Linked DNA regions of Notamacropus eugenii. The protein of the gene in region 1 purifies or fractionates together with the protein of each later gene. This does not show direct contact. Links are inferred from orthologs where the notes say so. Each region holds a gene or a part of one and is shown in the gene's direction. Other genes may lie near its edges.

What was found.
Region 2: the proteins of BAG2 (region 1) and MLF2 purify together in Homo sapiens (affinity purification with mass spectrometry; 4 studies listed by BioGRID and IntAct, with this or other methods). This does not show direct contact. The link is inferred for Notamacropus eugenii from reciprocal best matches to the Homo sapiens genes BAG2 and MLF2.

The regions. Positions count from the first base shown.
Region 1 is NC_092873.1:125,381,022-125,388,241, forward strand, and holds the start of BAG2 (BAG family molecular chaperone regulator 2), read left to right. Parts: upstream 1-3,873; 5' UTR 3,874-3,917; coding exon 3,918-4,121; intron 4,122-4,337; coding exon 4,338-4,471; intron 4,472-7,220. UniProt on the Homo sapiens protein: Co-chaperone for HSP70 and HSC70 chaperone proteins. Acts as a nucleotide-exchange factor (NEF) promoting the release of ADP from the HSP70 and HSC70 proteins thereby triggering client/substrate protein release.
Region 2 is NC_092874.1:195,042,015-195,049,511, reverse strand, and holds the start of MLF2 (myeloid leukemia factor 2), read left to right. Parts: upstream 1-4,314; 5' UTR 4,315-4,625; intron 4,626-5,318; 5' UTR 5,319-5,346; coding exon 5,347-5,396; intron 5,397-5,631; coding exon 5,632-5,761; intron 5,762-5,993; coding exon 5,994-6,029; intron 6,030-6,773; coding exon 6,774-6,827; intron 6,828-7,194; coding exon 7,195-7,323; intron 7,324-7,497.

The DNA.
Region 1 (7,220 bases):
GGTGGATGATCACTTGTCAGGTATATTTTAGTGGAGATTCCTTTTGAATATGAGTTGGATTCAAGCATGTGCTGGATCCAGTTGGCTCTTCAAAGCCAATTGTTAAATTTTTAGTGGGAGCGTTTTCACCTCAGAAATCTGCAAATTCTTCAAATCAGAGCTTGATTTATTATTTTGTTGATTGTCAAGATTTATGAAAGTGATGGAGAAATTGTTAATAATGCAGATTAAACTTTAAAATGTGATCTCCATATATTTTTTCTTCCGGTAGCCAGTTGTTAAATATTTACCAGGGCATTCCTAGTTGGACTGGAATAGATAGCTGCTAACTACATATGACTACAACAAAGTAAACAGAACACAACAAGAAAAAATTAAAACTGAATGTTATGTGATTATAATGATCAAATGGTACAAAAGAAGAGATATGAAAATGCACACACACGTACACACACCCTTCTTTACAAAAATTGAAGGTTAAGGTTATGGAGTATCACATACAGTTGGACTAAAGTGATCTATTGGTTAATTATGTTGAACTTTTTTTTATTCTTTGTTAAAAAGAATGGTTCTCTGGGTGAAAAAAAGGGAGGGATATTAGGAGATGAAGGTGATACAAAAAGAAAAGTTATCAATAAAGTTTTTTTTTTTTACAGCAAAACAACTAAACCTTTCACACTCTTTGGCCCAACAATCACACTTTTGGGAATATACTCTCACAGAATCGAAAGGCAGAAATGAAATTTCAATATGTAACAAAATATTCATAGCAAAATTCTTTGGTAGCCAAGAACTAGAAACAAAATGGGTCTTCTTAGACTGTTAAGTAGCTAAGATAACAACAATTCTAAGTCATATGAGTACAATGGAAAATTATTGTACAGTAAGAAATGATGACTGAAGAATTCAGAGAAAAATGGGAAAACTTGTAAGAACTGAAACAGAACAAAATATGCAGAACCTACAAAAATGCAAATCAACCAATAATTAAAAAGAAGCTGAACTTTGAGCAAGAGAAAAGCCACTGAAGGTACCAGAGAAGATATAATGAATTATACGTCCTCACTGTAGAGAAATAGGGGACCACTAGGAAAGAATAGGATATGCGATGCCAGAAAGAGGTCTCTACAAGAGGTTTTTGATTATTTTTCTTTTGTACAAGGGAAGGTTCAATATAGAAGGAGTATGAGAAATGGCTAATGTAATGACAAAAGGCATAAGTAAAATGTATATTAAAATATAAGAATAAAAAAATAATAGATTGAGGAAAAGGATCATGGTCAACATAACAGATTAAAAACAATACCTAAATTTTATAAATTTATAAAACTGTTAAAATTCAATATCTAGTGAATAATCAATGGGAATAAGATGATTTTTAAGAGGAAATACAAATGGTAAGTAATCACTTAATGTTTAATCTCACTAATAAAAAAATACACTCCAACAATTTTGAGGTACCATCCCAATCTCAAACTGACAAAGTAACAATACAAGACTGGTTCAACTGTGTAGAGAAGTATATTCATACGTTACTGATGGAATTTCAAATGTTGATACTTCAGCCTCTTGAGAAGTAATCCAGCATTATGCCATGGGAGTTATTAAAAAAATCACATTCTGATTTAATATTCTCTTTATTGGGAAAACAGAATATTATCAAAAAGAAAAGTGAGCTGTTAGTTCAAATACATCTATTGCAGCATTATTTATAATTGTGAAAATTGACAAAAATCTAAATGTCAAAGGGGAAATGATTTAATAGATTGCTATGTCAATGTAATATAATGCATCATGCAATTAAAATGAGTAAGTCTGAAGAATACAAATATAGAAAGATGAAATAATGTGTAAGTTAAGAACAGTATATACTTAGATTATATATAACCAAAAAATGTATAAAGAGAAATAATAAAGAATAGATAAAAGGGACAATAAGAAGGAAAAGGAATTGGCATTTACATGGTGCCTATAGTGTCTCAAGTATCGTGCTAAGTACTTTAACAAATATCTCATTTGATCTTCACAACAATCCTTCAAAGCAGGTACTATTATTATCCCCATTTTACAGTAGAGAAAACTGAGGCAAACAGTGATTAAGTGACTTGCTCAAGGTCATATAGTTAGTAATTATCTGAAGTTGGATTTCCATTCAGATCTGTTCTGACTCCAGGCCAGAGCTCTATCCACTGTATCACCAAACTGCCTCCAAAGGGCATACATGTATTCTTAACAAAACCAGGTGGGCCACAGGGAGAAACTGGTGTGGACATTTTGTTTGTTGAACGGTATTTTTTTTTTTTTGGCATTAATGGTCATAAAACTACGTTTTAATTGATTCTGTTGATATTTGAGGTTAAGTTCATAATAAATAATGAAAAAAAGGAAAGGGCCAATATGCGAAGCTTTTGTTTCATTAAGCAGAGAAACTTCTATGGCTAGTCCATAGGCTATCTGAATTTTGTTGAGATAACATGACACATTGTTGGATATTCGAGACAAGTCCTAAGGCATCTCCATTAAACTATGTTAGCTACAACACTTATTTGTATTATTTTTCTTATTAGGAAGAATTAGTAATTAAAATTACTTCAGTGAGAATGAATGGAACTGAAGCAGATCCTCAATACTGAAGTTTACAAAACCAGTGGATTAAGGGAACCTTAGAGAGTTTTTCATATTTCCCCCCTCTTTTCACTCCCACCCTTCTCAGGGCCCCAGGCCTGATATTCTGGCACCAGTGTTCACCTCTGGGAATTAGAGAACAGAAAAATTCCAGTGGCAGGTAAGTTGTAATCAAGTCAGTAGCCTTTATTAAGGGCTTTACACCATTCTAGTCAGGGCAGTTAGGTGGCTCATCGGAGAGAGTTTGTGACATAGAGGAGTCAGGTAGACTCCCGTTTCTGAGTTCCAATAAGGCCTCCGACACTAACTAGTTGCATGACCCTACGTAAGTCACTTGATCCTTTTTGCCTCGGTTTCTTATCTTTAAAATGAGCTGAAGAATTCATTTTAATTCTTCCATGCAACATGACTAAGGTGAAAATGTATTTAATAAGAATGTATGTGTAGAACCTATATAAGATTGTCTCCTGGAGAGAGAAAGGAGGGGGAAGGTGGAAAAGGGAGGGGGAAAAAGCTAAGATATATATGGAAGGGATTGTAGAAAACTGAGAACAAATTAATTAATAAAAAAATAAAATAAAATGAACTGGAGAAGGACATGGCAAACCACTCAAGTATCTTTGCTAGAAAACCCCAAATGGGTTCACAAAGAGTCAGACATGACTGAACAACTTGTTCTGGTCACTGTGCTAAACGTTGGGGATGCAAAGAAAACCACCAACACGCCCTCTGCTAGCAAGGAGCTCACATTCTAGCCGGGGTGACCACATACAACTTTTTTCATTCCAGATGGACAGTGGAGCCTGAGAAAGGCCTTCTGGGGTAGGCGGGATGGGAGCTGAGTTCTAAAGGAAGCCGGGAAGCACAGGTGAGAAGTGGAGGTTCCGAGTATTGGGGAGAGGGGAGTGGAGAGAAGGGGATGGGGCAGCTAACGAAAATAGACAATACAGTATTGTTTTGGAAATATTTCTAGCCTTTTACTGCCATCGCTTCACGCCTTTTTCCCAGCCTTAAGTCAGATAATATAAGATGAAATTATCTTTTCCTTGTTATTGATTTAGGAGCACTTAAGGGTCCTATACGATTATTTAACTCTTTAAACTTCCGATGGGTCTCAGATCTCCTCCCTTTGGGGAGTTAGTTTCGTGAAGACTCTGGAAGCATGGGGAACTGACTGTCCGAGGTGCTTAAGTTCATGCCACAGCTCTGAGTGGCTTATTTAAATCTTTGGTCTTTCCAACAGCCCTGTTACATTTCCCCTTGAACCCCAGACAGCCCCGAAGGTGATTTCCATGGAGTTTTCACGCGAGGAGAACAGCCCCCTGAATTCAGCCCACTGCCATGCCCACTGGAAGGAGACCATCCCAGCTTGGCAGCTGTCACGTCCTCCCACCTCCTTGGCTGGCCCCTGGGCCTCCCACCCGTGCCCTTCCCAGGGGCAGGCACGCTGCCTCCTCCCCCACGCAGAACCCCGCGGGGCCGGCTGGGGTATGGAGGTGAGTGGCGGAGGGGGCGGGGGGCACCGGCCGGCCGGGCTCCGTGTCCTTCTTTGGCCATGTTGCCCGCGGCCTCTCATTGTAGGCGTCAGAGGGAGGAGGTGTCCGGAGCTGCCACTAGCGCGCGGCTGCCCGGGGGGGCAGGAGGGAGGGAGGAGGACAGCAGGGAGGTGGCACCACCGCAGTCGCGTAATCCCTTCCTCCTCCTTCCTGCAGCCACCGCTGCCGAGCTGCCCCATGGCTCAGGCGAAGATCAACGCGAAAGCCAACGAGGGCAGGTTCTGCCGCTCCTCCTCCATGGCCGACCGCTCCAGCCGCCTGCTCGAGAGCCTGGACCAGCTGGAGCTCAGGTGAGCCGGCCGGGGGGGCCCGCGTGCCCACGGCTCCCGTCCCGTGCCCGCGCTGCCCGCTGGCCGCCCCGGAGCCCCCCGGGCCGGAGCTGGAGCCAGCCTGCCCCCGTGGCAGGGGGCGGTTTGGGGGACGCTGGCACCTTTAGAGAGAGGGCACACTTTGGGGAAGGAGAGAGAGACGGGGTGGGGGCCGGAGGAGAACCAAGTGGAGCATCTCTGGCACTGTTTTGCCCTTTGGGGGTCCATCTCCATAATGGGGCGGTGTGGCGTAGTGAATAGAGAGCCGACTTCCAGGGCAGCAAGACTTGGGTTCGAGTCCTGCCCCTGAAGCACTTGCGACCCGTACAGTCTTGGTGCGTGTTGCCCCCGCCGTTAGAACGTGTGTTCCTTTAGGGCAGGAACCATGTAGATTTTTGTCTTTTTGCCATTCTGTGTATCCTCGGCGCTTAGCACAGTGCCTGGCACGAAATAAGCGCCTGATAAGTCCAAGCTTGCTGACCGACTCCCAGAAATCCCCCAGCCTCATTGCTTTATGCAGCTCACTAAGACTATTTCGCCACATTCGTGAAATCAGATTGGTCAGGAACCGAAACTGAGGTTTGCAACAGTGGGATCTCTTGGTGTGGAAATGTTACCCCTGCTGCCCCATTCCCTCATGAAGACATACAACTCAGGTACTCAAGAGGGGCACTGAGAGATAAAATGGTTTTTGTCTGTGGATTTAAACCCAGATTTTCCGGGCTCCAAGGCCAACCCTGTATCTTGTATGCTACTGTCTTGGTGAAATGCTTATGCCAGATAAAATCTGGGTAACTTCATTGTTTGAGCATTCTTTAGGGTGGTTTGGCCACTTTTACAGTCCCATTCCCATGATCCTTTTGGACATCTGAATGTGGTATTTAGAAAAAAAAACAGATGGCAAAATCTACTGTGACATCATCTGACTGATTATAGGTTTCAACATCTGATTTTGAAGTGCTCTTTTAATGTCTTTTATATTCACTTGGTTGCTGCTCTTTCTTCTTTAGTGGAGTTTATACATAGTCACTGATACAGGGTGTCCCAAAAGTTTTAGGGCAGTTGTAATCTTTTTAAGAGCTTAGCACTGCTCTAAATTTTTGTAACACCCTGTAGATTGGTCACTAAAGGTTTATTCACTCCAAAGAGAAGGTTATCCAAAAAAGCATGTTGAGTAGCTTCCACTGGGACTAGTTAACAATGTGTGGAGAGAATAAACTGATTAATGCTACTTTTCTCATGCTAGCGTAGCACCACTTTGTACTATTTGGGCCTTTTATTCATAATCTGCCATTCTGGCCTGCTGTTGTAGAGTTATTCACAAGGGTTTGATGTTTGTGTGTCTGTTTACTTTTCTAGTGACTGTAGCCTTCTCTAACACTTAGGAATAGATTTGTACAAAAATTTTAAACTGTTAGCTAGTAACAGTGTTTTCTATAAGAAAATAATGTATATTTATCATAATGTCCTTGGTGATTTTTTTTAAGCTTTTATGGCATAAACTTTAATCATAAGCAGTTATAGCTAAACTAAAATTCCTTTAATATATATTTACTTTTTATTTATAAAACAAGATAAAGTATACATAAAATGCTGTGCAGATCTTAAAGTACTAAAAATGTAAGCTATTTTTAAAGCAACAGTAACATTTGCATAGCAGTGTGCAAGGTTTGCAAAACACTTTGCATACATTATGTTATTTGATTCTCACAATTATCCTGTAAAGTAGGTGCTATTATTATTCCCTTTACAGATGTGGAAACTGAGGCAGAGTGAGGCTGACTTGGCCAGGGTCATATAACTAATATCTGAGGCAGGATTTGAAACTAGGTCTTCCTTCTTGCAGCTGAGCCGCACAGCAGATAGAAATGCTGGGCCTGGAATCAGGAAGACCTGACTTCAAATTTGTGCTGACACTATCCACTTTTGTAGCCCTGGGCAAATCTCTATAGTGGCTTCAGTTTTATGCTGTAAAATGAAAATATTAATAGCGCTTACCTTGCTGGGGTACTTAGCACTGTGCCTGACATGCAGTAGGTGCTACATAAATGTTTATCCCCTTCCTGACTCCAAAGTCCAACACCATCCGTTGTGCCATTGAGCTGCCTACTATGTAGCAAGGGATAAATCCTTCATTTATAAAAAGATGTATAGGATTAATGAATATGTTCTCCTAGAAACTGAGGCTTGTGGCATTGTTAACCTAAGTACCAATGAGCCAGAAAGGGAGAGGAACCGATTTTCTATTCTCAATTTTAATGGCAATGGCAGAAACTACTATTTCTAGGTCTTTACCTTTCTTCCATCTTTGCTCAGGATAAAACCCAGGAGGAATTGAAAATTCATGAGAATGAACACAATAAATATAGGCTTAGTTAACAGCTTTCTACTGGAGGTTCTACAAAATGGGCAATCCTGATTCTGATAATTGACCTTTGAAATAAGATAAAAAACCAGAGTTCTTCTAACTTGGTCTCCTCATTTTCTGTCAGTAGAATTATATGCTGAGCTGTAACTAGACTGAGACCACCATTTCTTGGTATTAAAATTTAGAGGGTATTGTCAATATTTGCAGGCCTTCAGTGTTATAGACCTTAGAACCTAATTAACAAGAATAATTAATTAGTTCAAGTATGTTTGTCCTTTGTTGCCAAAGAAGACCATACTGTCAGAGAAATGATGACATGACTTGCACTTGACTTTGATTTGAGTGAGGGAGGGCTGTGCAGGT
Region 2 (7,497 bases), on another chromosome or scaffold:
AGAAGAGGTTAAGTCTATCAAAGTTAGTGATTTCACAATGTTGCTATTACTATGTACAATGTTCTCCTGGTTCTGCTCACTTCACTGTGTATCAGTTCATGTAAGTCACCCAGTTTTTCTGAAGTCTACTTGCTCATCATTTCTTTTTTTAAATTATTTTATTTGTTTTCAGTGTTCTGCAATCACTTCCATATAACTTAGATTTTCCCCCCTCCTTCCTCCCCTTTTCCCCTACCTTCCCCCTCCCTCCCTGAAACAGCATACAATTTTATACATACATTCCTATTTATTTATTCCTATATATTTACACATACATTCCTATTAAATGCATTTTCACCTTAGTCATGTTGCATAGAAGAATTAAAATGAATGGGAGAAATCATAAAACAAACCCGAACATACAAAAGAAAATGATCTGCTACATTCTACAATTGAATTCCATAGTTCTTTCTCTGGATGTGGAAGAGATTTTGTCTTAAGAGACTATTAAGAATTTTTTAAGTCCTTGCATTGCAATGAAGTTCTAAGTCTACCAGAAAAAATCCTCATACACTGTAGCTGTTGTTGTGTACAAAGTTCTCCTGGTTCTGCTCCTTTCACTCAGCATCAGTTCATTTAAGTCTTTCCAGGCCTCTCTGAAGTCTTCCTGTTCATCATTTTGTACAGCACAATAGTATTCCATTACATTCATATACCACAATTTATTCAGCCATTCCCCAGTTGATGGGCATCCCCTTGATTTCTAGGTTTTGGCCACCACAAAGAGTGCTGCTATAAATATTTTTGAACATGTGGGACCCTTTCCCATTTTTATGATCTCTTGGGGATACAGTCCTAAAAGCAATATTGCTGGGTCAAAGGGTATGCACATTTTTGTAGTCCTTTGAGCATAGTTCCAAATTGCTCTCCAGAATGGTTGGATCAGCTTACAGCTCCACCAACAATGGATTAGTGTTCCAACTCTCCCACATCTTTTCCAACATTTATCATCATCCTGTTTTGTCATGTTAGCCAGTCTGATAGGTGTGATATGGTATCTCAGAGTTGTTTTAATTTGCATCTCTCTAATCAATAGTGATTTAGAGCATTTTTTCATATGATTATAGATAGCTTTAATTTCTTCCTCTGAAAACTGCCTGTTCATATCCTTTAACCATTTATCAATTGGGGAATGACTTGTATTCTTGTACATTTAACTCAGTTCTCTACATATTTTAGAAATGCGGCCTTTATCACAGACACTAGTTTAAAAAATTCTTTCCCAGTTTTCTTCTTCCCTCCTAATCTTGGTTGCTTTGGGTTTGTTTGTGCAAAAACTTTTCAATTTAATGTAATCAAAATTATCCATTTTTACTTCATAATGTTTTCTACCTCTTGTTTAATCAAAAATTCTTCCCTTCTCCATATATCTGATAAACACCCTATTCCTTGCTCCACTAATCTGTAGTATCATTCTTTATACTTAGATCATGTACCCATTTGGACTTTATTCTTGTGTACACTGTCAGGTATTGGTCTATGCCTAGTTTCCACCACACTGTTATCCTGTTTTCCCAGCAATTTTTGTCAAACAGTGAGTTCTTATCCCAGAAGCTGGGGTCCTAGGGTTTATCAAACAGTAGACTGCTATATTCATTGACTACTGTGTCTTGAGTATCTAACCTATTCCACTGGTCTACCCTTCTTTTTCTTAGTCAGTACCAAGTGGTTTTGATAATTGCTGCTTCATAATACAATTTGAGATCTGGTAGCACTAGGCCACCTTCCCAAGCATTTCTTTTCATTAGTCCCTTTGCTATTCTGGGCCTTTTGCTCTTCCAGATGAATTTTGATATTATTTTTTTCTAGTTCTACAAAATAATTATCTGATAGTTTGATTGGTATGGCACTAAATAAGTAAATTAATTTAGGTAGAATTGTCATTTTTATTATTTGCTCATCATTTCTTATGGAACAATAGAATTCCACCACATTTGTATACTATAACTTCTTCAGCCATTCCTCAATTGATTCCACACAATTTCAAATTCTTGGCTACCACAAAAAGAGCTGTTATAAATATTTTTGTACATGTGGGTTCTTTTCCCATGTTAATGATCTCTTTGGGATATAGACCTAGAAGTTGTATTGCTGGGTCAAAGGGCATGCAGTTTTATAGCCCTTTGGGCATAGTTCCAAATTGCTCTCCAGAATGGTTGATCAGTTCACAACTCCACAAATAACTCATTAGTATTCTAATTTTCCCACATCTTCCCCAACATTTATCATTTTCTTGTTCTGTCATGTTAGTCAATCTAATAGCTCTTCAGTTCTTAACCTAGAGGTTCACACTTCATAAAGAGATCAAAATTATGAACCATCTCATTTACACATTTAACCACATCGTTGCCTTTAGGTTGATTGTGTCACATTAATTGACCACATACTGCCCAACTAGACTCTAAGTTCCTGGAGGTCTTATCTAAACTTTTTATCTTCACCCCTTCCCTGACTACCAAAATTGTTTCACATTTGTTGAAGGAAGGGAGGAAATTTAAGGTTAAGAGAGCAGGAAAGAGAAAATTTGGAGGTCAGGAGTACCACAGAGCTGGTGGACTGCTGCATCTGCAGGGTGAGCACAGATTTTTGCAGTTTTTTCCCTTTTATTATCAATAAAGTTTCATTTCCTTTTATTCTTACTGCCTATGAGGCTTTCTGTTTCTGCTATTATTTCCCGCCTTCTCAGTTTTTCCCACCTATTAAAATGGAAATCTCCAAAAGAAGTTTTCACTAGCATTTTCCCCGATTCAGTAATATACTCCTTTCTCCGGCATTCTACGCCCCCCCCCCAAAAAGAGGGGGTATAATGCCAACTGTCCTTTTCCTCAGGGTTTGATTGTTCCAACCAGATGAAGGATCAGGTAAAAAGAGTCAGGGAGGTGAGAGTTTGTATATGTTTTGTGTAAAGTTCAATCTAAATTGGGCAAACCCCCGGAGGGGAACAGGCAGGCTGACCCAAGAACCAGAATATCCAAGGTCGACCTGAGGACACCTGCGTGCTCAGCTCAGCTCTGGCCCAGGTTGGGGGGGGGCGCGGTTGGAGGGTCCGGAAGTCGTTTCTGCTCTGAAATCCAGCTTCCCCTCCTCCAAAATAATCTGGGAATGAGCCCTTTGGCTACTGCACTGTCCGCCACGACCCCTTCTGTCCTGGCTCCTCTTAGGGGCAAACGCCTGCGAGCTGGGACACGGGCCGGGAAGGAGAAGAGCGCCCATCTGGAGGGTTCTGATCCCCAGGCTTCTCCCTTTACAGAGGGGGTCACTGGGGTACCCCCCACCCCCGCAGACGTCCAGTGAGAGGACAGAGCCCTCCAGTGGCCAGTCCCTGGGCTGAGGCGGGCTCAGGGTTCAGTGCCTCGAGCTGAGCTCCCCACTCATTGCAGCAAAACGAGTCTCCGTCCTTACACTGCCCGGCTCGCCTCTGCCTGGGCCTGCGCGGACCTGGCCCCGGCCCCGGCCCCGGCTGCCCCGGCCCCGGCCCCTTCTCCCCCGGCTCCCCCGGACCCTGCTCCCCCTCCTCTCTCAGACACCTGCCCATCCCTCTTCCTCCGATTCCCCTATAGGAAACCTCCCCCACACTCACAACAAACCCGCTCCTGCCTCCTCCTCCTCCTCCTCCTCCTCCTCCTCCTCCTCCTCCTCCTCCTCCTCCTCCTCCCCCTCCTCCTCCTCCTCCTCCCCCTCCTCCTCCTCCTCCCCCTCCCCCTCCCCCTCCCCCTCCTCCTCCCCCTCCTCCTCCCCCTCCCCCTCCTCCTCCTCCTCCCCCTCCTCCTCCTCCTCCTCCTCCTCCTCCTCCTCTCCATAGGAAACCCGTCCATCCTCTTTTAGAAATCTCCCCTCCCTCTCCATCCTACCCCGCCCCGCTATAAGAAACCTCCCTCCACATGGGGCATCTCCCCCTCTCCTCATAGGAAGCCTGCCCTCCCTACTTCGGCCCTATAGAAAACGTGCCCCTCCCTTCTCGTCTAGATAGTCCCCCCATACCTGCCCCTCTTTTACCAGAAATCTGTCCTCCCTTTTAGAAAACTTGCCCCCTCCCCTTGGTCTTCCTCTTCCTCCCCCCATAGGAAATCTACCATCCTCGGCATCATCCCCCCGCCCCCACCTCCCTCCTTCTTCCAGGGATCACCCCAAGAGACCCCAGTCATTTCCTAAGTGTGCGGGAGAAGAGGCACCGCCAAAGGGAAGCAAATACAGGCCAACCCCTGCGGGGCACCTCCCCTGGCCGGGTCGGCTGTCAGGGAAAGCCCAGAGGGGCGGGGGCGGGGAGAGAGGACTGGGGCGGTGACGTCACTTCCGCCTGGGCCTGGCAGTGGCTGAGCCTGGCTGTGCTCGGCGGCAGCAGTAGCAACCGCGGCGGCAGCGGGAGGAGGACGAGGAGGAGGAGGAGGAGGCGGAGGAGGAGAGAAGGAGGGAAGGAGGGAAGGAAGGAAGGATCGTCGGGCCTCCCCAGCCGCCTCAGCGCGCCCCGGGCCCAGCGGAGCACCCAGCCAGGGCCGCGGCTCCGCGGGCCTGCGCCACGCACAGGATCGGGCCCGGCCGGATGGGCGCCTGAGCCTCGGGCCCCCAGCGCCCTGGATCGGGGCCCGGTGAGGGTCGCGGCGGGGGCGGACGCGGGGCAGCCGGGCCCCCCTGGGCGTGCGAGGCCGGACCTGAGCGCCGGGAGGGGAGAGGGCCGGGCGGGGGAGGGGCAGGGCTGGCCTGGGCTCCGAGTGGGGAAGGGGCCGGGAGCCGGGACGGACCCATCGGCCGCCGGGGTGCCAGGTTAAGGCTGTGGGGGCCTGGAGTGGGGAGGAGGCAGGGCAGGGTGTGGAGAGGAAACCAAGTGGCCGGGGCAGTTAATGGAGCGAGGGCCCTGATGTCGGGGGAGGGACGGACAAAAGGAGGGGGCTGCCAGCCCGGACAGCAGGAAAGAGTGGCTGGCCTGGAGGGGCCGGACAAAAGGAGCAGATATGGTGGTATTTATTTTAAAATATTACTGTCCAGCACTGAGAGGAAGGGAAGTTGGGGAGCCGCTTGCACTCCCATATTGGATTATGTGGGCATCTGGAGGAAAGAGGCTTCCCTTCAGTCTGCATTATGGTGGGCATCTTGAGAGGGCTTTCCAGTGTTTGCATTATGCTGGGCATCTCAGGAGAGAGCCCTTCCTCCTATGTGCGGGGTGGGGAGCAACCGTACTGTGAGAGCCATTGCACTGGAGGCCCCCTCCTGAAGGTAAGGTGAATCTGCTTCCCTGCTGGCCTCTTACCCCTGTTTCCCATCTCCTTTCCTCACCCCTCTAGTTCAGAGCTCCCGGAAGCTGAGAGCAGGATGTTCCGGTTCATGAGGGACGGAGAGCCTGAGGATCCTATGTTCCTCATGTGAGTCTCCCCCCCTCACCCACAGACCAGGACATTTCCAAGCCCCAGCCCGGGAGAAGCTGGGAGACTCTCTTTTGGGGAGTCAGAACATTGGGTTTTAGTGTTTGCTCTGGACTGCAAGGCAAACACCTTCTCTCTTTGCCTTCCTTTCTTTGTGTTTTAATTTGAGAAGGAAGGAACCCAGTCATGGGGCTTGTGGCCTTCCTGACATGATGCCTTTTGTACTTTTACGCAGGGACCCTTTCGCTATTCACCGACAGCACATGAGTCGGATGTTGTCAGGAGGCTTCGGTTACAGCCCTTTCCTTAGCATCACAGATGGGAGCATCCCAGGGGCTCGACCTGCTGCTAGTCGAAGGATGCAGGTAACAGGGCAACATGTTTAAGACTCTGCCAGGCCTTGGGATTGGGAAGGAACTTGAGGAAAAATCCCTGCCCTTGCCTCATGGGGGCAGGGGCGCCAAATTCCTCATGCTTAAACAGAGAATGGGAATAAACTTGGGGAGGTGGGCCTAACCTAGATTTATAGGAAAGGAGAGGAGGTCGCAGTGGGGGAGGTATATTTTCTAATTCTACTCCTTGTCCATGCATCTGTAGGCTGGAGCTGTCTCACCCTTTGGGATGCTGGGAATGGTAAGTCCTCATTCCCCCATATCTTCCTATCCTTTGTTCTTTATTCCCTTTCAGTACTGTTTTCAGATCTATCCCTTTAAGGAGTCTTTAGGAGTGATTGTAGTGGTGTCTCCTTGTCTTCTCCCCCCTTTCATATTATTGAGTGTTCACAAAGCTTTAAGCCTACAGTGTTACATATTTGTTAACTGTGCCCCCATGTCCAGAATCTCTAGAAAGGGAACTCTTTTTCTTTCCCTTTTTTTATGAGTTCCTATTTTGTTGTTATGTGTGTGTGTTGGGGAGCAGTTAGTATTGGTTCTTGATAGGTTAAAAATCCACTGACTCTAGGTTGAGTTGTTAGAGGAAAGGGAAGGTAGGGAAGCCAGGAAATGGAGAAGAATGAAGCCAGAGGAGGAGGAGAAGAGGTCAGTGTTGTTTTAGCCAGTTTGGATAGGGAGATTCAGGGTGTGGATAAAAGGATTTAGAGTTGGAAGGGACCCAGATTTTCTCAGTCACAAAAACCCCAAAGTCAAACAGGTATTCGTTGTAAGGCTAAGATTTGAACTCGCGTCCTCTGACTCCAAATCTAGTGCTTTTTCCATAAACCACACTGCCTCCCAAGAGGTCTTAGAGCAGATGACCAGGTGTGAGGGGGAGAGGAAAGAGATAGCATTATAAAGGTCCCAAGCCAGTCTTGAGATTGGAGAAGAAACCTGGAGTATATTGATTTGTCCTGAGCCTTTTCTTCTAACTCTCTTTCCCTAGACAGGTGGTTTCATGGACATGTTTGGGATGATGAATGATATGATCGGGAATGTGGTAAGCCTTTTGCCCCTAGTCTTTTTAACCTTTTGACCTTAAATGACAGCCTCATCCCGAGGATTCCTCTTTTTCTATAAAAGAACTCACTAAAAAGTTAGACCCTTGAATTCTGGGTTGGAAGTTGGCATTTACATGAAGACATGAGATCAGGTGCCTGCTCAAAAAGCTTGCTCAAGGTAGACATTTCACATTAGGCATCCAGTTTAGAGCAGAATTCCTTCAATTGCATCAAGGTCACTTGTGAATTCTCACAGTACTACAATAGAGACAAAGTTAAAAACAAGCTGAGATGCTGAGACTCTCTGGTGAGGGTGGGATCCCCTCCCTCACCAACTACTTCAGCTCCAGCCTCCCTCTTCTTCAGGAGCACATGACAACTGGAGCCAACTGTCAGACCTTTTCATCCTCCACTGTCATCTCCTACTCCAACCTGGGTGATGGTGCTCCCAAAGTCTACCAAGAAACATCTGAGATGCGCTCAGCACCAGGTGGGGTAAGTGCTGTGGGGAGGTTGTAGAGCAACTCTGAATTCACAGTGTTGGACTGGCTCCCGCCGCTCTCCAAGCAAGTGGTGCTCGATGTCATGCAGAAGAACACTAGGGTGTTTATCAGAATTGTCTGAGGGAAATTTTGACCACAGGAGCTGTCAGTAGAAATTTGGGTGCAA